Linked DNA regions of Xenopus tropicalis. The protein of the gene in region 1 purifies or fractionates together with the protein of each later gene. This does not show direct contact. Links are inferred from orthologs where the notes say so. Each region holds a gene or a part of one and is shown in the gene's direction. Other genes may lie near its edges. The genes, in order: exoc6, exoc3, exoc1 and exoc2.

Region 1 (5,354 bases):
GGAACAGATACACTAAATGAATCATAAATCCATATATTATATATAAAGTGATATGAAAATATAAATAGGCCCCTCAAATTATGTGCCTTTTATGTCCAAACGTCTGTGGATGGCTCCTTACTGGTGCAATCATCAGGCTTGAGTCTACTGCATTATAATTGTGTTTGTACAGTCAGTACCTGGGGCTGCCCAATGCACACTGGCCAAGCTGTGGTTTGTTTTGTTGTTTGGTAAGCCAAAATGGGAGAGCTTAGAACTGCTTAATGGAATACTAAGAGACTGACCTAACAGTAACATGTCCCCCAAAAGCTGCATAAATACTGCAGGCATGCAGGTGCCATTGCATTAACTGGTTTGATGGGACAGTAGAGTTGTAGTAGTTTTCATTGGACAGATGTCTTCTTCTGAATGGTTCTTCTTATTGAGAACACAATGATGCCTCTTTTACTTCTGAGAAAAGACACAAGTGAAATGTCTTTGATTGCAGTCAAAACTTTTCTAATAGTCAAGGACATTTTCCTGACAGTGAGTTACATGCTGTGTAGCAGCAACCTTTTATACCCATGAGCCATATTTAAATGGAAAAAGTGTTGGGGAGCAACACAAGCATGAGAAAGGTTCCTGGGGGTGCCAATACAGGTTTAGTTGTCTACTTAATAGCCCCTATGTGGACTGGCAGCCTACAGAAGGCTCTGTTTGGCATTATACTTGTTTTTTTGCAACCTAAACTTGCCTCCTTACCTTAATAAAAAAATAGGCACCTACTTTGAGGCCACCGGGAGCAACATGCATAGGGTTGGTGAGCAACATGTTGCTCACGAGCCACTGGTTGGGGAACAATGCTGTATAGTATTACTTATTGTCAAGGAGGAAGCTGACTAGAGATAAGACAGGACAGGTCAGGGCCAGACTGGAAATCTGTTGGTTCTGGCAAATACCCAAGGGCCTGCTGTAAGATGCCATAGGCAGTTACTATTTAGTGGGCTGGTGGAGGGCTATTTGGGCCTCTGTGTACTTAAAAAGTCAGGGCCTATTTTGAATCCGAGTCCAGACCTGGAATAGATTCTTGGCCAACAGGGGTATTTTGAGGCAGGAAAGGCAGACAGTAGGCACTGTTATACACAGGGTAAAAGGGCGGGTGATGAGCTAACAAGCTTAAGTCCAGGCAATGGGCCAGGGCAGACAGAGATCAGACAGGATCAGCTAGAGACTAAAGTCTTTAACAGAGATCAAATAGAATATACAATGGGCAGCAGGAAGATATACCATCAAACTGGTACCAACCATTAGTGTCCATGGCACTTTAAAGGTTTTTTTCCATGCCTCCTGAAATCCAGAGCCCATCCCCCCATTAGTGCCAAACTGGCAGACACACCACTAAGATAAAAGACCATCATTCATAGTGGTGTTTTCCAGTTCTGGTCACACACAAATAGATCATAGGAATGGCACACCAGTTATAGCAGACATGTGCTCCTGAACTAGCTCCAGGGTCAAATACAGCAACTTACAACACCTAAGCAGCACTCCATTAAAATAGTCTTTATCCATGCTTAATGGCAATGTACTGAAAAAGAGCAATACTATGGGCTCTTTGCACCCTTTCTCAAGCATGTTTGTCCAATGCGTTCCTCCACACATCCACAGAGGAATAAAGGGCACATTAGATTGTGTAACAAAAGCAACAACAAAGTACAACTACAACCTGTGCAGGATTTAAATAGTTACATGACTAGTCTAAAAACATCATTGGCAATATTATATGTCTTAATTAGAGTAGACTCCTTCTAAATACATTTATATGAATGTGATTCTACCCTATTTCATGTAAGCTATAATGTTTGTCCCTTTCTCTTGACATTACCATAGCAGGAGTCAGATTTTAGCAATAGACTGCCTTCAGAATTCATTTTCAGCGGGAGTTCTGATCAGTTTAAGTAAGAATTGTGGTTTAATCAAATTATAACTAGTATCAAATTATCATTTTCTTGGCTCCTTATCAGCCTGAGAGCGATAAGCTGCAGCCTCAGATCATATTTAGGCGAATTGCTCTTTAGCATCTGGGGAACATTAACGTCTCTCTCTGTGGTTACGTTTTAGGGTGATAAAGAAGTATTTGAAAACTACTACAGAAAGCAGAGAAGAAAACAAGCGAGATTAGTCCTGCAGCCCCAGTCCACCATGGTAAACTGATTTTCTTTCAGAGAATATTGTTCTTGACTGTCCACAACTTGATATGTATTAATATATGTGTGTCTTTTTTGTGCTCTGTTTTAAAAGCATGAAACTGTTGAAGGTTACAGAAAATATTTCAGTCAGATTGCAGGGTGAGTATTTTAATGCATTGTGAATTTTCACCATGTTTTATATTGATATTCTTTTCAAGATTGAAGGCATATAGAGAGTTTCAGTTGGTGCCGTCTTGTGAAGAAGATCTGCCGTATTCACTTCCACAATATCAAGTGCAATATCTATGCAATATCTATTGATTGTTTGCTGTGGGCCTAAATCCTAGCTATATTGCCAGCTACTACTCCGGATCTTTGGGGCTCTCATTTATGGGAATCTTAGATGGGTCTTCTAGATGATGCTAGTCAGTGTTTGCAGGTCTAGAACAGGGTGGTGGTTTATTTAAAATACGTTATGGAATCCAACAGTAGGTCCCAACCCTTTAGTCTCAACCAGCCCCTAGCAAGGTCAGACACTTGGTTACATATTACAAAATGCTGGGAGTTGTACTTTGGGGACAGGTTGGGTACCATTGAGTTAGCATCAAGTGGTGAAATTTCTCATGGGTTTTGATCATCATATGGAAATCATTCTATAGAAATGAAATGCCCCAGCTGAGTAAGTGAACCACACAACATTCTTTCCCTTGTGGGTTCCCTGTTGTTGGTGCCCATCTCTGCTCTGCCCAAAGACTGCCCCTGTCAGGGCTTATTAAATGAAATGGCAACGTTTCTTAATGCCTTCCACAATAAAAGATCAGCCTTGCTTTACCCATAAAATTTCACCCAAATGTACAGATACGCCAACCATGAATATTCTTAGAATGATGTTATTGAATGTGAAATCTACTGACACATTAATTTGAATAAACAGTTTTTTCCCCTTTATTTCAGATTTTTTGTTGTGGAAGATCATATTTTACATGTAACACAAGGGCTCGTCACTGGCTCTTACACCACCGAACTATGGAATATGGCGCAGTCGAAGATCATAGCTGTCCTTCGAACGCACTCGGTAAGAAAGGCAGAATTCTGACCTGGTGGGGTTATGTAATGACTGAAAGGTACATACATGCAACTCCCAGCATCCTTCAGCAGTCAGGGCTTGTGTTCTAGTGCTACCAGGGCTTTTGTGTTCCCGGGAGGTTCAAGCTGTGAGCCACAGCTGAGGGCTATCTGCATAATCCTTCTCTGATTTACAAGTTACTGGGTCCTTACAGCATAGTGTAGTACTTTAGAATATGCATAGTTAATCTGCTGTTATTAAGGCTATCTGTCCTCATTAGCCTCAACTGGCCTTCATTAGATCAAACTGAATAGGTCAGCACTCAGACTGCCACCAGGAAATGGTTTCAGATGATTGCGCCAGATACCCTGTTCCCAAAATAAACTTTTTCTGGTTTATTCACTGAAATGGGAAGTTCCCCTTAAACGTAACTTCTGGGATGATGCAGGCAGTGATAATCGAAGAGAGATAAGACCTTTCAGGACCAGTTTATTATGGGTGAATTATTTGCTGTACAGAAATATATAAATACAAATCTGTTACAATACACTGAAAACTTACTGTGCCTTCTTTACAAAGGCCCTGAATCCAAATGCTAGAATGTTGAGGGGTGCAAAATCGAGTCTTTAAGGGCCTTATTTACAAAGTGCAGGGTAAAGTACAAAAAGTGGACTCATGTTTGTGCTTCAGAATGGAGAATGAATAGCCATACTTCCTCCATGAATACAGAGCTGCCAGTGTTTGTTAGGTGCAGAGTGCTAAGGATCCCTTATGCCCTATGTGCTCCATTCTGGACATACTGGGTTAAAATCCCACTTTACTTGCACTGCCCCCTCACTGCATGGATAGGTGAGACCTAAGAGGCCTATTGATGAAATACAGACTTATATAACTTTCATGTATACACGCAGACTCATACACAGTGACCCTGCAAAGATGCCATAGTGCGGTAGCAAACTGTAACTAATACTTTATCTTGGTCTAATGCAGTTAAAATAATGAAAGCAACATGACAATTATGTGGGTAAATGAAAGCAACTAACTGAGTATTCTCTTGAGCAGCTCACAGCTTATATGTATGCATACAGAGCCACTTTTCAGCAGAAGCTGGAGAGCTATGGGTCACATCATAAATAATAGATCCCCCCACAGGGGGTATTTTTGTCACTCCAAGTAAAACTGTGCACTTATACACAGCATGCAGTGAGAATCTCTTGGTCATAGAAAAAAGTTATCATTAAAACCTCTGTGATATTATCTGCAGACCTGGGTATCAGATCAGAGCCCAATATCTCAGCACATCTTTCCTCACCAGTCGATTTAGCACAAGGTGCAGCTTTTAAGCACAGTTTGTAATACACTTAACAAATCTCATTTCTTTGTAGTCGTATTGCACTGACCCCGATCTTGTCCTGGAGCTTAAGAACCTGATTGTTGTGTTTGCTGATACTATGCAGGTAAGTGTTATCTGGGATCTTCCAGTTCAGTCTAATTAGATTCGCCAGGCCTTGGATGCCAGATGAAAGAAGAAACATTTCATTGTGCTCAGTTCTGTCAGATATAAAATAAGTTTATTTTCTACTGTAGGAATATGCCAGGTGAACAGTTTTATATATATATATATATATATCATGGGATTCGGTCTCCTACAAACAAAAAGCAGGGATGCAGGTTTTTTTTTTTTATGTATAAATTCTGCAGGACATTTTAGGTTTATTTTTTAATTCTATTAAGCAACTTTAGATTCAGCCACCAGCTGCATTTATCAGTCCCTTAGGGGCACATTTACTAACCCACGAACGGGCCGAATGCGTCCGATTGCGTTTTTTTCGTAATGATCGGTATTTTGCGATTTTTTTTGGAAAATTGTCGCGACTTTTTCGTTACTAATACGATTTGTGCGAAAAAACGCGAGTTTTTCGTAGCCATTCCGAAAGTTGCGCAAAATCTGGCGATTTTTCGTAGCGTTAAAACTTGCGCGAAACGTCGCACCTTTTAAGTTTTAACGCTACGAAAAAGGCGCAACTTTTCGCGCAAGTTTTAACGCTACGAAAAAATCGCCAGATTTTGCGCAACTTTCGGAATGGCTACGAAAAACTCACGTTTTTTCGCGCAAAACG
Region 2 (5,354 bases), on another chromosome or scaffold:
TTTCTAAAAAAGTCAATTTCTCCCATAATTTTCTGGTTATAACACTTTTTTTCAGTCAAAAAGCAGAATGTAAATGCTCTCAAACTACCAGGTCAACTTAGATGCAGAGAAAGTCATGTTGCTGCTTGTTTATTGAATGCTTTGGGTCATTTTGGAATTTTGTTTTTGTTCCTTTATGCTACTTTCGGTAACTCTGTAACCTTTACTGTACACCAAGGATATGTTGATCTCTATCAGGGCCTACTATTTCATATTCTTTTATTATTGTAACTGTTGTCATTGACCACACAGTGTAGAGATGATGGGGAACCCAGAGCTGATTCCAGAAATAAATGTGAAGTCACTGAAGCCACTTCTTTCTCAGGACATAGTGGACCAGTTGCTCCATAAATACATGGCAACTCTCAGAGTAAGCAGATGTTGTCTTCTTTTATATCTTTTTAGTCTGTGTATAAAGGGGACCTGAGGACCTAAGAAATAATTCAAAATTCTTTTCTCTTGTGTTTGTTAAGCAAAAAAACCTTCACTTACACTATAAAATATATATAATATATATACATAAATATTTTTTCTTTCAGTCCTGGAATTACACAATCACAGCAAATAGGCAGGTGCCATTTTGTGGACAAGCTTATTAAGGCAAGCTTTGTATCACCCCGAAATCTTGTGTATGTGCCAGAATGGGGGCCTGATGCCCAGGCCCATGCACTGGCTACACAATTAGATGGTCAGGTGGGAGGGGGAAAGTAAGCTGAACTGGAAGTTAAAGTAATTGTCTGCCCCGCCTCTATGCCTAAGGCATAGAGGCGGGGCAAGCAATATATGATAGACAGCTGGGATTTTTAAATGCCTACAGCTTTTTATGTCTGGGTGACAGGTCCACTTTGGAAGTGTTGCCAAAATGACTTCTTAGCACATTGTTTAAAGTGGACCTGTCACCCAAATAGTCCTCAAAAGTATAAGGCATTTGAAACTTTTCTTTACTTTTCTTTATTTTTAGATTTAAATGTTTTGTACTCATCATCCTCTGTTATTTGGGGGGATGTTCTTTTTTACATTTAATCTAAATCTATCATTTAGTAATACTGCAATACTAAATGTGTCCATTTTAGTTTTATTATGTATAAACAACTGTACTACCTGCCTGTCACTGTAATAATGTATATTGGATGCCAGTGCCCGCTTATCTCACTGTACATAATGTCCTGGGATTACACTACCAGTACTCTTACTCTATTGATCAAGCCTAGCATGACTCATTCCTATACAGAAGGAAGGCTAGACTCGATCAATCGATCGCTGCATAGTGGACGCTTCCCCTGATACTTCACCTGCATTGCCGTATCGCCTTTCTTCAAATGACCGGAAGGCAACTTTTAACAGGTATTTTGTACTACAGCATTCAAAATAATAAATGGTTTGTAGGATAGGGCAATTATTGGGGCAGGGTAGAATAGATTTTTTAGTTAAAAATTTTTAGTGTTACTTTTCCTTTAAAGTGGATGTGGCATTTAAAAGTAGGCGTGGGCAAACTGCTGTGGTGAGCTATGTCCAACATAACTCCTCTGGAGGGACAATGTATTGTGTACAGCCTTGTGCACAAGAATCACTTAATCTGCCCTTGCTGCTCTCTTGTCATGATACATTGGTGAGCAGCTTTGTACCAGTAATGTATATACAGGCATTATACAGGTTTTCAGGAATTTTTAGGCTCCACACAGTTGTCTGATTGGATCGCACAGCACTATATAAATGACTGATTGATTTCACTCTTTGAGCTTGGAGAATAAAGGAAAACTTTAATAAGGAGCTGCTTCAGTCTGTAGCTGTTTACATCTATATATACATTGCTTGAACCTGGCAGACAAACGGAATCCCCTGAGAGTGGAGTGCGGTAGAAAAATTGTGATAAAAAGATAGGTGACGGCAAGAAAGAAATAAGAATAAAACTTAAATTGCACTGGAAATGAAAACAAATAGACAACAGGAGAGAAATCATGAATGAGGAGGACAGCAAGGTAGAGAAGGGAAAATTGAAAAATAAAATACATTGAATAATATGGGAAGTGTTAAAGTGAAGCAACTTTATATTACACATTAACCCTTTTGCTGCCAACCGATTTGGTCACTTGTGGTATTTATATTGCCAGGCACTTTTGAAACATTTTACACTCTTTCACTTTAGGGGCCTTTTCTAGGGGGACCTTTAGTTTATCCAGGAAAATGATATATTATTTTTTAGGACAAGATAATCTTTCACAGTATTTTAGAATTTTAGTGTAATTTCACTTTTATAACACAAAAAAAGGCTTTTAAATGTAATATAATGTAAAATATAATTTTCCATAATATAAAAGCTTATATCAAAAACATAATTTAATTTATGCACTAAAATGCATCTGATTTGCAAAGTCATATATCTTCTGTACAATTGTATAGGTCACCAAATCCCAGTAGTACACTACCAATTTTCTAAAGCACTGCTTCAGAAATCTGCATATTCAAGGGTAAAAATTCCACCAACAGCAAACCCTAGCAAACTATACATTTTTGGAAAGGGCAGGTTCTGATGAATCCAAAGAGGCAAATATCCCTTTCTACTCCAAACTACCAAGTTGCATTGGTTTACTAAAATTATCGTTATCATTGTATCTCCTACAAGTCATTAAGTAACAGGATAAAACACCATAAATAAGAATGGCAGTCATCCTGTGAACAGTTTGATGTCCACTGTGTATAAAAGATGTGGCATGTAGGGACCCTGGGATAAAGATACTTCATGGGGAACATTTACTAATCCACGAACGCTCCGAGCATTCGTTTGACTTTTTTGTCGCTTGTGCAAATTTTTCGTACCTTCCGCAACTTTTTCGTACTTGCAACAAATTTGTGCTTCAAAATCGTATTGTTGCACCGAGTACGAAAGTTTCGGATTCATTCAAGCTTCGTTATCGTGACTTTCCTTGGGCCAGGTTGGAGCTGCAGAGTGCCATTGATTCCTATGGGAGGCTTCCAAAATCATGCACAGAAGGATCAAAGTCGGAAAGGTTTTCCTGCATTTTACGAAAATTTTGTGACTTTCAGATTGCCAATATGATTTTTTCGTAAGCATATTTGCGATCTTAAGAAATTATCGTATCCAATCGGAATTTATACCATTTGGGAACTTGTGATTTCATGAATCTGGCCCCATGTGTTGTATTAATTTACAGAAAGCCATATATTTTTGGAAAGTACACATTTCTTCAAATTCAAAATGGGTACACATCTTTCCACTCCAAACAACCAAACTGCAAAGCTTTCCTAAAGTTGGCAATTTTGAAGACGTTTCCAAAAACCACCTCAAAGCTTCCAATTTGCAACATCTTATCTCCCACATATCATTAGGTACCAAGATAAAACATCTTAAATATAAACTCCAAAGGGCCACTGAACAGTTTCATGCCCAGTGTCCCAATTGATTTACTGTACTCTCCCTACGTTTGTGTTGTCATTGGCTGTTATGTTGCTATATTTACCATAAATATATTTTCATATGTAAGCAAACATTATCTTTGCATAGATGCTTGCCATATGTCTTTGATATATGACATATAAAATATTAACAGGCCATTTCTGTTTACCATTGCTTTTACTATAGCTGAGCTTGTGTTTTTGTGCATTGCGTGTGTGATTTAACCCTTGGTATGCTTTTAAATGCAGTCTAACATCATTGCCTGGTTAAGAAAAGCACTTGAGACTGACAAAAAGGATTGGGACAAGAATACTGAGCCTGAAGCTGACCAAGATGGGTACTTCCAGACTACATTGCCTGCCATTGTTTTCCAGGTAAGAAACCACTACTGTGTTGAGTATATACGCGTTTTTCATTCTCACATTCAGCTTCATTTGATCGTAGAAATTAAAAACCGATTTTAATTGCAAGGTTAAAAACATGTTGGATGGAACTAGGAATACAACAACAATGCATTCAGCAAAATTTGTCTGCATGCTGTTTATAATTTTGCCTTAAAAGTATTTGCCCGATGCTTTTACTTTACTTATCTGATTCCCGGTGTTCCTGTATGAGGGGGGCTGCCATATTTGTGCAGCAGTAGTTAGCATTAGAAACTATTATTGACAGGTTGAGAAGTGACAGTCAGGTTGGTAAGAATCAGGTTTAGGAACTTTGAGTAACAATTACTTACAAAAGCAGCCCTATCAGCCAAAAATGATTTTTGTGGCAACAGTTTTATCACTATAATGAGGTCTGTAAAGAATGTGTTTTCTAAGATGGTAAAATTGCTCTGCACACAACCAACACTTGTGGAATGAACACCAGCTGCAAGCCATGCCTGATCAATGCCATCAGAGGCCAACCACCCTAATGCTCTTTTGGATGAATAGAAGAAAATGTTACCAATTATGTTCCAGTGTCTAGTGGAAAGCTTTCCAAAAAGAGCATATTTTTAGGAAAATAGTTTCATCTGATTCAGTTACAATATTAGCAACAGTTGTATATAATCAACCTGATTGCAAAATATTTCTAACAATATTTGAAAATATAATTTTAAAAAAATCACATGAGTTCGTTCATACCCAGAGGGAAGACATTAGGAATTTACGTAAAACCCACAAATGAAACTAAACAGGCTGATGTTCAGTATCTTGGTATGCAAGAACATTCAGTAAGGGCTCTGTTGTATTATGGTCAGTTCTAAAGGATATATGAAGTTCACATTGGGGCAGAGAACCATAATATAACTGGCAACATTTTGCAACTATTGATTATCCAGTGCTGTTATGTTCTGCCTTCTATGTAATTTTTTTTTTTTTTTTTTTTCAGATGTTTGAGCAGAATCTGCAGGTTGCTGCACAGATTAGTGATGATTTAAAAAAGAAAGTCCTTCATTTGTGCCTCCAACAGATGAATACTTTTCTAAATAGGTATAAAAAGACATTGTTTCACATAATTCTGACACAAGCTGTTTTGTGTTGTTTGCTTGCCTTCTATTTTGTATTTTCACTTATAAGGTATCAAGGTAGTTTATTGAAGTGAAGTCTACCATTTTAGCTCCAAGTCCCAAGACTTTCTCAAAGTGCAGAAATAAAATACTCAAATCCATGAAAACAGTCTGGTGTAAAAACACCTGTTAAACTTAGCTTAAAGTAGTATTTTGGCCTGATTTATGAAAAATTCCCAAACAAGTCCCAGCAAGTCTGCCAACTGTTCCATAGTGCAGCAAGGCTAACATGATAGGGAACTGAATCCTGTCTTTGCTTGTTTTACTGCAGGACTGTGCTTGGCTGTTCCCCTCCTCCTGTGCTTCTGGCAGGGACCATAGGACATGCCCACCCCTCATTTTAAAAACTGC
Region 3 (5,354 bases), on another chromosome or scaffold:
TAATGTGCTTTACTTTCTTCCATGATGACTTCTTAAGTATGGGCATAAAACTCCAGACAGCACATTGTCATCCATTATAATTCATTCAAGTTAAACTCCAGTACTCCACGTTTATATTTACTGACCTAATAAATAGCAACAGGTCAGTTCTGCAGAGCACTGCATGTTGTGCGGGTTTTTTATTTTACAACATTTTTTTTACCTATTCTGCAGGAAAACCCTGATTTTGATTTGCATTTTGACAAAGTGTACAAATGGGTAGCAAGCAGCATTGCTGAGAAGAATGCATTCATTTCTTGCCTCTGGAAGCTGAATCAAAGATATCTGCGGAAGAAAATTGACTTTGCCAATGTAAGCTCCCAGCTATTGGAAGGTAAGCCTTAAAGTATGGCTGGGATACAGCTTATGGTTGCTCTTTTTAATAAAAGTTTTTTTTTTTTAATTCAACGGTTTTGCAGAGTTAAAAAAAACACTCATCATTTTCATGCAAAGCAGAAGGAATTTTGGGTTATTATCGCTCCTAAATTTTTATTTTCATGAAATACCCTATAGGCAAAGCTCCCCTACTGGGTTTTAAACCCTCTGTTCATTTGTATGCAAAGCAGAAAGAATTCTGGGTAAGAAATCTGGTATTTGTATACATTTTACCTTTCTTATGGCATGCTCTACTATAGGTTTTAGATCTTCCACTCACAGAGACTCTTTATAATGATATTTGTAGTTTACAGACTGTGCCCATGGCTTGTAAAATGAGTAATTATGTGAACATGAAAGATGCAAGTAAAACAAATCTTAGCTTTTCAAATATGTGTGGGAGTTGTTCCAGAGTTTAAGTACTTTGTCTCTGATTTTGGGCCTGACAACTTAATTCATGCAAAGAACAGGGCTTGCAGAGTCTGAGACAGTTCTGCAAGTGCTGCTGGGCCCTTTTGGACAATAATGATGAATTATGATCTGGTACAAGTTTATACAGGCAGGCCCCCGTTCCCGTGACCAATAAGACTCAGAGGCCATTGCGCAAAGATGAGTCAAAAAGCAGAGCAGCAGAGATCACTTTGCAGTTTATGATAATGTTGTTTGAATGTTGCATTTGGTCTTTCTAGTCAGTTACTTTGTATGATTTTGGTGTAGAGAAAGATATTAATTCCTTTTAGATGTCAAGTAAATTAATTAATCATTACATTGCCTTTTACCTATACTAAGCAACCAAATGCAGTGGAATGAGTTAAGATGGATGTGCTCAGAACCTTACCCAGACTGATGCCATTGCTGATATTCTGGGCAATTTAGCAGTGATAAAGAAATGGGTGTATGTGGAAACCATAACATTTAGAGCTAAAGTACAATGCAAGCATCATCAAACAGGAACATTCTCAATCATCATTAACAGGGGTGAATGAAAACAGGAGGCGTTTTCAGATAGGACTAAGTATTATTCTGCATTTACCCAATTTTAATGATTGCATGTTAATACCTAGAGTGCTTTGTCCTGTGTGTGAGAGCTATAGCCAATCAATATAACTGTTTCCAAATGTCTTTTGAGAACATTGCCTGTCTTGCTTTAATACTCTCTTGCTTACTGTCCTCTGCTCTTTTTTCCATACTTATTACTCTCCAGAACTGCCTAAAGTTGCTGAAGGTGGGTGTCATGATTTATTTATACATGTTCCTATACTAATACAGATCAACTGGAGTCAGATTTTTTTTTAGAAACAGGATGAAGTGGGATTTATTCATATACAGTATTACTATATAATAATGCCCTCTGATTTGCTATGGAATCTTTGGATTTTAAAATCCTCTTAGCATGCTGTATACCTTTACAAATGAGAGTTCATGGAGAAAATATTCCTTTAGTTTATACTGGAAGTATAGTTTTACCTTATGTCTAAAGAGATATTATATCCACTTTTAAATATTGGCTCAATTAACAGGGCTTGGGCTGAACATACTTTTAGCTTATTGTTCTAGTTATGATATATCTGGTTTTTAACAATTATTTTTAAATTAAACGGATAAAATTTAAATTAAATTAAAGCCACATTCTGCTTCCTGATAAAAAGACAGACCAATCAGCAGTCCATTGAGAAGCTTCTGTATAAATGAATCCCTTCCTTTCCCCAGCTACAGCCTGTTATGTTTTTAGATAAAGAGCAGATCGTTATACAGATGCTTCTTATTGGGCATACATATTTACTAATTAAATCTAAAGGCATCAAGTATCAAAAGGCATCAAGCTCTATTCATTGAGCCAGTGTTGATTAAGGTAATAGGCACTGCAATGTTGCTTTTTTTTTTTTGCTGCCTAGAATAAGAATGCTGAAGTAGAGTCTTTAGAGAATGCCTTAGCTGAGGCAAGCAATATGGCAGTATGTCACAGCTTATTTACAAGGCTGCTGCACTAACCTGACTTCCACTGTTGTCAGTGTTATTAAACGTGATAATGCCACTGTGCACTTTTTAAATAGGAACATGCTTAGGTTCATCCCTTATGATGCTATTATAATCTTATGCTCAGGTTGATGTAAAGTAGTTGGAAGTACCCGGTATGAATTTACAGTGCCCCCAAATAAGGGGGGAAGGAAGAGAAGGATTTGTTCTTTACATTTTAATTTATATGGTATCTGGCATTTGTTTTCCAGTAATTTGCAATAATAATGAGGGGCGCATTACTAATGTAAGCCAGTGTTCTTTTGTGGCTACTTTGTAAATAGCATGCACTTTGCAGAATGTACAAACCAAATTAGTTAAGCAGCGCACATCCTTATTAGGGATTTATAGTATATTCAACTTGTTTCTGTACTTCAGAAATTCTGGTTTATAAAATGATAGGAATTACTATTAACAGGAGTGAGAGAAATCAAATCTTGATGTTTTCCTTAGACTGAAGATTATTAGGTCAGCGTTTCTTTTCTTTTCCTTTGCCTGCCTTTCTGACAGCTTTCTGTTTTCTTTGATCCATTTTCTCTGAAAAGTATTTAATACGTTTTAGAATCCACCTTTGAAATTAGACACATTAAATGCCAAGTCACATTTACAGGGGATCATTGTATTCATTCAAGTCATTGTATTCTAAGAACAAATGGTCTTTTTTGGTTATTTTTCCATTTTAATCTGTTGTTTTGTTGCACAACTTTCCACGTGGCATTTAAGCTATCTGGTTGCTTGGTTCCAACTTAACCTAGCAACCAGGCATTGGTTTTAATGACACAAGATGATGAATAGGGGAATGGCATTTTAAAGCTTAAGTTAGAAAAAGTCTGAATAGTACAGGTATAGGACCCATTATCCAGAATGCTCGGGTCCAAGGGTATTCCGGATAAGGGATCTTTCCGTAATTTGGATCTCCATACCTTAAGTCTACTAAAGAATCAATAAAACATGAATTAAACCCTATGGGATTGTTTTGCATCCAATAAGGATTATTTATATCTTAGTTGGGATCAATTACAAGGTACTGTTTTATTACTACAGAGAAAAAGGAAATCAGTTTTAAAATTCTGAATTATTTGATTAAAATGGAGTCTTTGGGAGACGGGCATTGCTTAATTCTGGGTAACGGGTTTTCGGATAAGGGATCCCATACCTGTACTGCGGATTATAAAAAAAAATACCTTTGGAGAAGGGCAATTAGTTTTGTGTCCATAAGAATATAAATAGTAATCCATGTTTTTTCACTGTCACTTCTTAAAGAATCTGTCCCTAGTGGGGAAAACCAGAGTGTGACTGGGGGAGATGAAGAAGCAGCAGCTGAGTACCAGGAGCTAAATGCCAGAGAGAAGCAAGACATTGAGATTATGATGGAGGGCTGTGAATATGCCATCTCCAATGCAGAGGCTTTTGCAGAGAAATTATCCAGAGAGCTTCAGGTTTTGGATGGGGTAAGACCAAGTGATGACTATGATGCTAACCCTCTGGGATGTATAACCCACATGACTTATCCACTGTTAAACAACAAAGTAGATAATGTATAAACTCACTCTAAATATGGCCGATAGCAAAAAAAACTTGGCAAACCGTTTGTGTACCAAATGTAGAAGTAGAAAAAGCTAGCACCGTCCACACTAACCATACACGTTCAAAAAATAATAACTGTCTATACTCTCACATTGAGATTAGATGGAATAGAGTAGAAGTACTGGGGTAACGTGCAACTGAAGTAAAATTATGTAAAGAAAAAGAGAAAAACAGGGAGACACGCTAGCAGGTGGTCCCTGTATAGACTTCAGAGCTTTGCACCGTTAATCCCAGGAAAAGGTAATGATTATTAACAGGTAATTCACTTGATCAAAATAGGATAGGAAATTAAAACTTAACCTTTATTAATCAAACTTAAAAGGTGAAGTATATCTTAAAGAAATCCCCATTAAAAATCGCCTGGGGTGATGTTCAATAACAATAAGAACTATGAGGTAGTGTAAGGCTGCTCAGAGTAAACCTGTCTGATTAAATTCGCTAAATTGTTGCAGTTTGAAAGATAACTTTTGTATCGAAATTCTCTGCTTAAACAGCCCTGTGAAGGCAGTCAGGGAGAGATTGTGATAAACCTGCAACAATTGTTACGAAAATGTTGCCATATAAGGAGAACTCAGATCGGGTTTCCTTATAATCTAAAGTCACTGCTTAGCAGAGTAGGGGATTCGAACCCCGTTATAACTGAAATGAGGTGCAGATCTCTTTTAGCTTAGGGCTGAAATTCAGCCGTTTCTGTGTCCACCACCCCACAATAGAATAAATTTGGGTAAATCTATATTGCAGCCCAACCTCCCATTCTATATATTGAAGCACCCTTGCTAAATAAAATGCACATCATTCGTGCAGACGTTTCAACCCACCCTTCCCAACCCAAAGCCCCGCATCAACACCCGTTCCACCCCCCTCAAAGCCCGACGCACGTTTCGCCCCTACACGAGGAGCTTTTTCAAGGACTGGCGGCGCGCCCCCAGGATGTCGGCTTTTAAATTTGCTGTAGTAACTCCTATTGGGCAGATGGCGTCTCACCTGGAAATTCCCCTGTGACGTCATCAAAGGACCCGGACTGCACATATATCTTCTTATGCAGAAAAATGAGATGTGGCTCCTCTGCAAATGCTGACACAAGGGGGCGCTATATTAATATTACAACTGAAATAAGGAGGGCAGAAATAACTGGGATATCATGTATTGAAATTTAATAAACTGATGTTAAATAAAATATAAAAAAGAAACAAATTATAAGTGAGTATCAATTATTGTTAGAGGAATGCATTCAAGGTGATACTTCTATTCAAACCATTTGGAGATAATGAGTTTAGCAGAAAAATCCACTCACTCTCTTTCTTGATTAGGGCTCTATCTAGATCGCCTCCTCGTAG
Region 4 (5,819 bases), on another chromosome or scaffold:
ATCGTTACACCTCATCATAAAAAGCTATTCAATTGGTCTGAAATGATCTATCCTTCATAAAACCATGCCAATTACTGCTCATAATGCCATTTTCTAGTACATAATTTTGTATGTGATCCTTTAGCAAGCCTTTAAATAATTTGTCCATCACGGATGTCACACTTACTGGCCTATAAGTGCCAGGCTGAGATTGTACATTAGCCTTCCTACCATACCAGATGAAAGAGAGTCTCAGTATGCCTGGTACATACACTGGCACAGCACTGCTACAACCTCAAAGACCAGAAACTGAACAGGTGTACCACTGGCAGTATGTGCCTTAAGTATGTGCAGATTAGCACAGTGCTCTAATACAGGAGATTCAGTGATCAGTGGGACCCAAAAATATTTATACATGCACTTAGGGGCTGATTTACTTACCCACGAACGGGTCGAATGGAGTCCGATTGCGTTTTTTTCGTAATGATCGGTATTTTGCGATTTTTTCGTATGTTTTGCGATTTTTTCGGATTCTTTACGAATTTTTCGTTACCAATACGATTTTTGCGTAAAAACGCGAGTTTTCCTATCCATTACGAAAGTTGCGTAAAAAGTTGCGCATTTTTCGTAGCGTTAAAACTTACGCGAAAAGTTGCGCATTTTTCGTAGCGTTAAGTTTTAACGCTACGAAAAATGCGCAACTTTTCGCGTAAGTTTTAACGCTACAAAAAATGCGCAACTTTTTACGCAACTTTCGTAATGGATACGAAAAACTCGCGTTTTTACGCAAAAATCGTATTGGTAACGAAAAATTCGTACAGAATCCGAAAAAATCGCAAAATGTTCGTTTTCAAGTCGGAACTTTTCCAATTCGGGTCGGATTCGTGGGTTAGTAAATCAGCCCCATAGAGTGTAAGCTCTACGGGACAGAGACCTCCTTCCTACCGTAAATGATACCACATGGCACTGCGTATTTACACTTATTTATTGTATTTATTATAATAGTTGTCCTCCCTGTGTGTAAGTTTCTCTGTTGTAAAATTGTACAGCCCTGTGTATCCTTGTAGCGCTTTCTAAATAAAGTTTTACATACATACATACATACAAGACTACAAAAAAAATTTATACAGGTTTAGTAGCACAATAGATTGATATAGGCCAGAATAATCCTCAACATTTATACACGAGGAAACCTTTTACAGCACTCATTAAAGGGCACATTAAACCCACATAAAATGGTACAATAAGCCTCAGCAACAAATAATACCCTAGTATAAATTGGTACTGTGACCCATTAAGCCTGAAATTCACCCCATCACAAAATTGCTACAGACAACCCTAATATTAACCACCAGCAGGGACTGACACGGCGTTAAAAATCATTCCCCCCACAGTTAGGCTCATCACTTTTAGGGCAGGCTGTGATAGTATGATGTAGGCATCAGCAGCAAGTGTCGGGACCAAGGCAGCAGCTGGCAGGTGGTAAAAGACTTAAATGACCCCTCTTGTGGGCCCCATATTTACAGAGGCCCATTCCATGCAATAAAAAGATTGATGCACTTCAGCTGACATGCCATTCATTTTCTCCTCTGAGGTTAAAAGAGTGCTTTACAATTGTCCCACCTTCACTCCTGTGCTTCACTTGGCTAGTTCAAGCGGGTTCTGAATGGAGGATCTTATATATAAAAAAAAAACTCACTAATCATTGCATAGACTCTGTCAGACGTGGCAGTGTGAGTTATTTTTAATGTCACATACAAAAAAAAATTTGTGTGATCCATAAACCATAGGAATTAGGGGCTACAGCTGAGTACACAGTAACAATGTAAAAGTTGTATGCAGGGCCGCCATCAGGGGGGCACAGTTGTCCCGGGCCCGGCCGCGATACAGTTATAAGCACGGGCCCCCTTTAAAGAGTTCCAGGCCTTAGTGCATTGGTGGTCAGCGGGTAATTTGATTGGTTGCGCCCCGTGCGTACGCGTGACGTCAGCACGCACGGGGCGCAACCTTATCATAGAGTAGCTGCAGCGGCGAGCCGGGGAACGTAAGAAGAGACGGGGGAGGCAGCCGGGGGAAAACAGGCGGACGCAGCCGGAAGAAGTAGGCGAGCGGTGGGGGAGAACATTGCGGGGGAGTTGGAGTATGTTGGGGAGGACGCTGGGGGGAGCTGAAGGATGTTGGGGAGTACGCAGGGGTGAGCTGGAAGTTGTTGGGGAGTATGCTGGGGGGAGCTGATTGATGTTGGGGAGTATGCTGGGGGAGCTGATTGATGTTGGGGAGTATGCTGGGGGGAGCTGATTGATGTTGGGGAGTATGCTGGGGGGAGCTGGAAGATGTTGGGGAGTATGCTGGGGTGAGCTGGAAGATGTTGGGGAGTACGCTGGGAGGAGCTGATTGATGTTGGGGAGTATGCTGGGGGGAGCTGATTGATGTTGGGGAGTATGCTGGGGGGAGCTGATTGATGTTGGGGAGTATGCTGGGGGGAGCTGATTGATGTTGGGGAGTATGCTGGGGGGAGCTGGAAGATGTTGGGGAGTACGCTGGGGGGAGCTGATTGATGTTGGGGAGTACGCTGGGGGAGCTGATTGATGTTGGGGAGTATGCTGGGGGGAGCTGATTGATGTTGGGGAGTATGCTGGGGGGAGCTGATTGATGTTGGGGAGTATGCTGGGGGGAGCTGATTGATGTTGGGGAGTATGCTGGGGGGAGCTGATTGATGTTGGGGAGTATGCTGGGGGAGCTGATTGATGTTGGGGAGTATGCTGGGAGGAGTTGATTGATGTTGGGGAGTACGCTGGGGTGAGCTGGAAGATGTTGGGGAGTATGCTGGGGGGAGCTGATTGATGTTGGGGAGTATGCTGGGGGGAGCTGATTGATGTTGGGGAGTATGCTGGGGGGAGCTGATTGATGTTGGGGAGTATGCTGGGGGGAGCTGATTGATGTTGGGGAGTATGCTGGGGGGAGCTGATTGATGTTGGGGAGTATGCTGGGGGGAGCTGATTGATGTTGGGGAGTATGCTGGGGGGAGCTGATTGATGTTGGGGAGTATGCTGGGGGGAGCTGATTGATGTTGGGGAGTATGCTGGGAGGAGTTGATTGATGTTGGGGAGTATGCTGGGAGGAGTTGATTGATGTTGGGGAGTACGCTGGGGTGAGCTGGAAGATGTTGGGGAGGATGCTGAGAGGAGCTGGAGGATGTTGGGGAGGACGCTGGGGGGAGCTGAAGGATGTTGGGGAGGACGCTGGGGGGAGCTGAAGGATGATGTTGGGGAGGATGCTGCAGTGGGCAGTGGCCCATAGTATGGGGACGCTGGGGGAGGACCAGCAATGTTTTAGGGGGTCCCTGCCCTGGCTACCAATGCAAAACGTAACCCCTGGCTACCAATGCAAAACGTAACCCCTCACTACCAATGTTCTAGGGGGGAGGGCCCTGCATATGCACAGCATACAGTTATGGACCATGGGGGAGGTAGGGGGAATGAGAGGAGTGCAGTGACATCTAGGAAATGCAGAATATAAAGTGACTGCCTGTCCCACCTGTATGCCTGAGGCAAATATAATTGACAGCTGAGATTTTGGACTTAGTTCATGACAGGTATAGATGTCTTAATTTAAAGGAGAAGGAAAGGCTAACTCACTGGGGGGTGCCAAAATGTTAGGCACCCCCAGTGACTTTAATCGCTTACCTTTTACCCCAGGCTGGTGCTCCTGTGAGAAGAAAAGTGCACCAGCCCGGGGTAGCTGCGAGCGAGTGTCTCCTCTTCAGTCTTTGTGCGCTTGCTAACTTCCCATAATGCCTTGCTCCTGCACCAAGATTGGTGTACATGCTTAGTGTGTAAGACCTATGAGGAAGCTTCCTGCTGATTGGCTCAGATCCACATTCCTATGGGGGGGAGGGAGTTCTTAGCATTCTTGAGGGAGGCGGGAGCAGGAGAGAGGAGAGAGCTGCGTGTCTCTGGCACAGGAAAACAAAGACTAGAAATCCTGTGTTTCTTTTGAAAGAGAACTCAGTGTAGCGTTTCTGTAAGTGCTTATGGCTGTATTTACATAGACCTTTATGATAATGCTTACTTAGTTTTTACCTTTCCTTCTTTAATTTTTAGTGCAGTCAGTGATTGATTGGCCAAACTGTTAGCTGTGTGGGTGTAGCATATAACATACAGACTTCACTGTACACAGCAGTTTGTGTGTTTTGAGTGTATCTCTTACAAAGTAATATACAAGTGTATGGTGCAGAAGCTTTAACTAGGTGGCTGTGATGGTAAGGGGAATATTTTAAAGGGGTCGTTCACCTTTAAGTTAGCTTTTAATATGGTATAGAATGCCCTATTCCTTGCAACTTTGCAATTGATCTAAATTATTTGTTAGTTTTTTGTTTTTTTTAATAATTTGCCTTCATCTTCTGCAGCTTTCCAGCTTTTATAGTGATAGTACCCCCTTAAATAGTTTGTGTGTGTGTGTAATAAATATATATATATATATATATATATATATACAGTGGTGTGAAAAACTATTTGCCCCCTTCCTGATTTCTTATTCTTTTGCAGGTTTGTCACACAAAATGTTTCTGATCATCAAACACATTTAACTATTAGTCAAAGATAACACAAGTGAACACAAAATGCAGTTTTTAAATGAGGGTTTTTATTATTTAGGGAGAAAAAAAATCCAAACCTACATGGCCCTGTGTGAAAAAGTAATTGCCCCCTGAACCTAATAACTGGTTGGGCCACCCTTAGCAGCAATAACTGCAATCAAGCGTTTGCGATAACTTGCAACGAGTCTTTTACAGCGCTCTGGAGGAATTTTGGCCCATTCATCTTTGCAGAATTGTTGTAATTCAGCTTTATTTGAGGGTTTTCTAGCATGAACCGCCTTTTTAAGGTCATGCCACAACATCTCAATAGGATTCAGGTCAGGACTTTGACTAGGCCACTCCAAAGTCTTCATTTTGTTTTTCTTCAGCCATTCAGAGGTGGATTTGCTGGTGTGTTTTGGGTCATTGTCCTGCTGCAGCACCCAAGATCGCTTCAGCTTGAGTTGACGAACAGATGGCCGGACATTCTCCTTCAGGATTTTTTGGTAGACAGTAGAATTCATGGTTCCATTTATCACAGCAAGCCTTCCAGGTCCTGAAGCAGCAAAACAACCCCAGACCATCACACTACCACCACCATATTTTACTGTTGGTATGATGTTCTTTTTCTGAAATGCTGTGTTACTTTTACGCCAGATGTAACAGGGCACGCACCTTCCAAAAAGTTCAACTTTTGTCTCGTCGGTCCACAAGGTATTTTCTCAAAAGTCTTGGCAATCATTGAGATGTTTTTTAGCAAAATTGAGACGAGCCATATTGTTCTTTTTGCTTAAAAGTGGTTTGCGCCTTGGAAATCTGCCATGCAGGCCGTTTTTGCCCAGTCTCTTTCTTATGGTGGAGTCGTGAACACTGACCTTAATTGAGTCAAGTGAGGCCTGCAGTTCTTTAGATGTTGTCCTGGGGTCTTTTGTGGCCTCTCGGATGAGTTGTCTCTGCGCTCTTGGGGTAATTTTGGTCGGCCGGCCACTCCTGGGAAGGTTCACCACTGTTTCATGTTTTTGCCATTTGTGGATAATGGCTCTCACTGTGGTTCGCTGGAGTCCCAAAGCTTTAGAAATGGCTTTATAACCTTTACCAGACTGATAGATCTCAATTACTTTTGATCTCATTTGTTCCTGAATTTCTTTGGATCTTGGCATGATGTCTAGCTTTTGAGGTGCTTTTGGTCTACTTCTCTGTGTCAGGTAGCTCCTATTTAAGTGATTTCTTGATTGAAACAGGTGTGGCAGTAATCAGGCCTGGG

The links.
Region 2: the proteins of exoc6 (region 1) and exoc3 purify together in Homo sapiens (affinity purification with mass spectrometry; 6 studies listed by BioGRID and IntAct, counting the BioPlex papers as one, with this or other methods). This does not show direct contact. The link is inferred for Xenopus tropicalis from reciprocal best matches to the Homo sapiens genes EXOC6 and EXOC3.
Region 3: the proteins of exoc6 (region 1) and exoc1 purify together in Homo sapiens (affinity purification with mass spectrometry; 4 studies listed by BioGRID and IntAct, counting the BioPlex papers as one, with this or other methods). This does not show direct contact. The link is inferred for Xenopus tropicalis from reciprocal best matches to the Homo sapiens genes EXOC6 and EXOC1.
Region 4: the proteins of exoc6 (region 1) and exoc2 purify together in Homo sapiens (affinity purification with mass spectrometry; 5 studies listed by BioGRID and IntAct, counting the BioPlex papers as one, with this or other methods). This does not show direct contact. The link is inferred for Xenopus tropicalis from reciprocal best matches to the Homo sapiens genes EXOC6 and EXOC2.

What each region holds. Positions count from the first base shown.
Region 1 is NC_030683.2:25,435,431-25,440,784, reverse strand, and holds part of exoc6 (exocyst complex component 6), read left to right. Parts: intron 1-2,100; coding exon 2,101-2,184; intron 2,185-2,280; coding exon 2,281-2,327; intron 2,328-3,122; coding exon 3,123-3,243; intron 3,244-4,619; coding exon 4,620-4,691; intron 4,692-5,354. UniProt on the Homo sapiens protein: Component of the exocyst complex involved in the docking of exocytic vesicles with fusion sites on the plasma membrane.
Region 2 is NC_030682.2:69,102,593-69,107,946, reverse strand, and holds part of exoc3 (exocyst complex component 3), read left to right. Parts: intron 1-291; coding exon 292-409; intron 410-3,702; coding exon 3,703-3,828; intron 3,829-4,825; coding exon 4,826-4,926; intron 4,927-5,354. UniProt on the Homo sapiens protein: Component of the exocyst complex involved in the docking of exocytic vesicles with fusion sites on the plasma membrane.
Region 3 is NC_030677.2:40,659,243-40,664,596, forward strand, and holds part of exoc1 (exocyst complex component 1), read left to right. Parts: intron 1-213; coding exon 214-373; intron 374-1,618; coding exon 1,619-1,639; intron 1,640-3,693; coding exon 3,694-3,881; intron 3,882-5,354.
Region 4 is NC_030682.2:87,070,076-87,075,894, forward strand, and holds the start of exoc2 (exocyst complex component 2), read left to right. Parts: upstream 1-1,970; 5' UTR 1,971-2,079; exon of another isoform or gene 2,080-2,119; intron 2,120-5,819. UniProt on the Homo sapiens protein: Component of the exocyst complex involved in the docking of exocytic vesicles with fusion sites on the plasma membrane.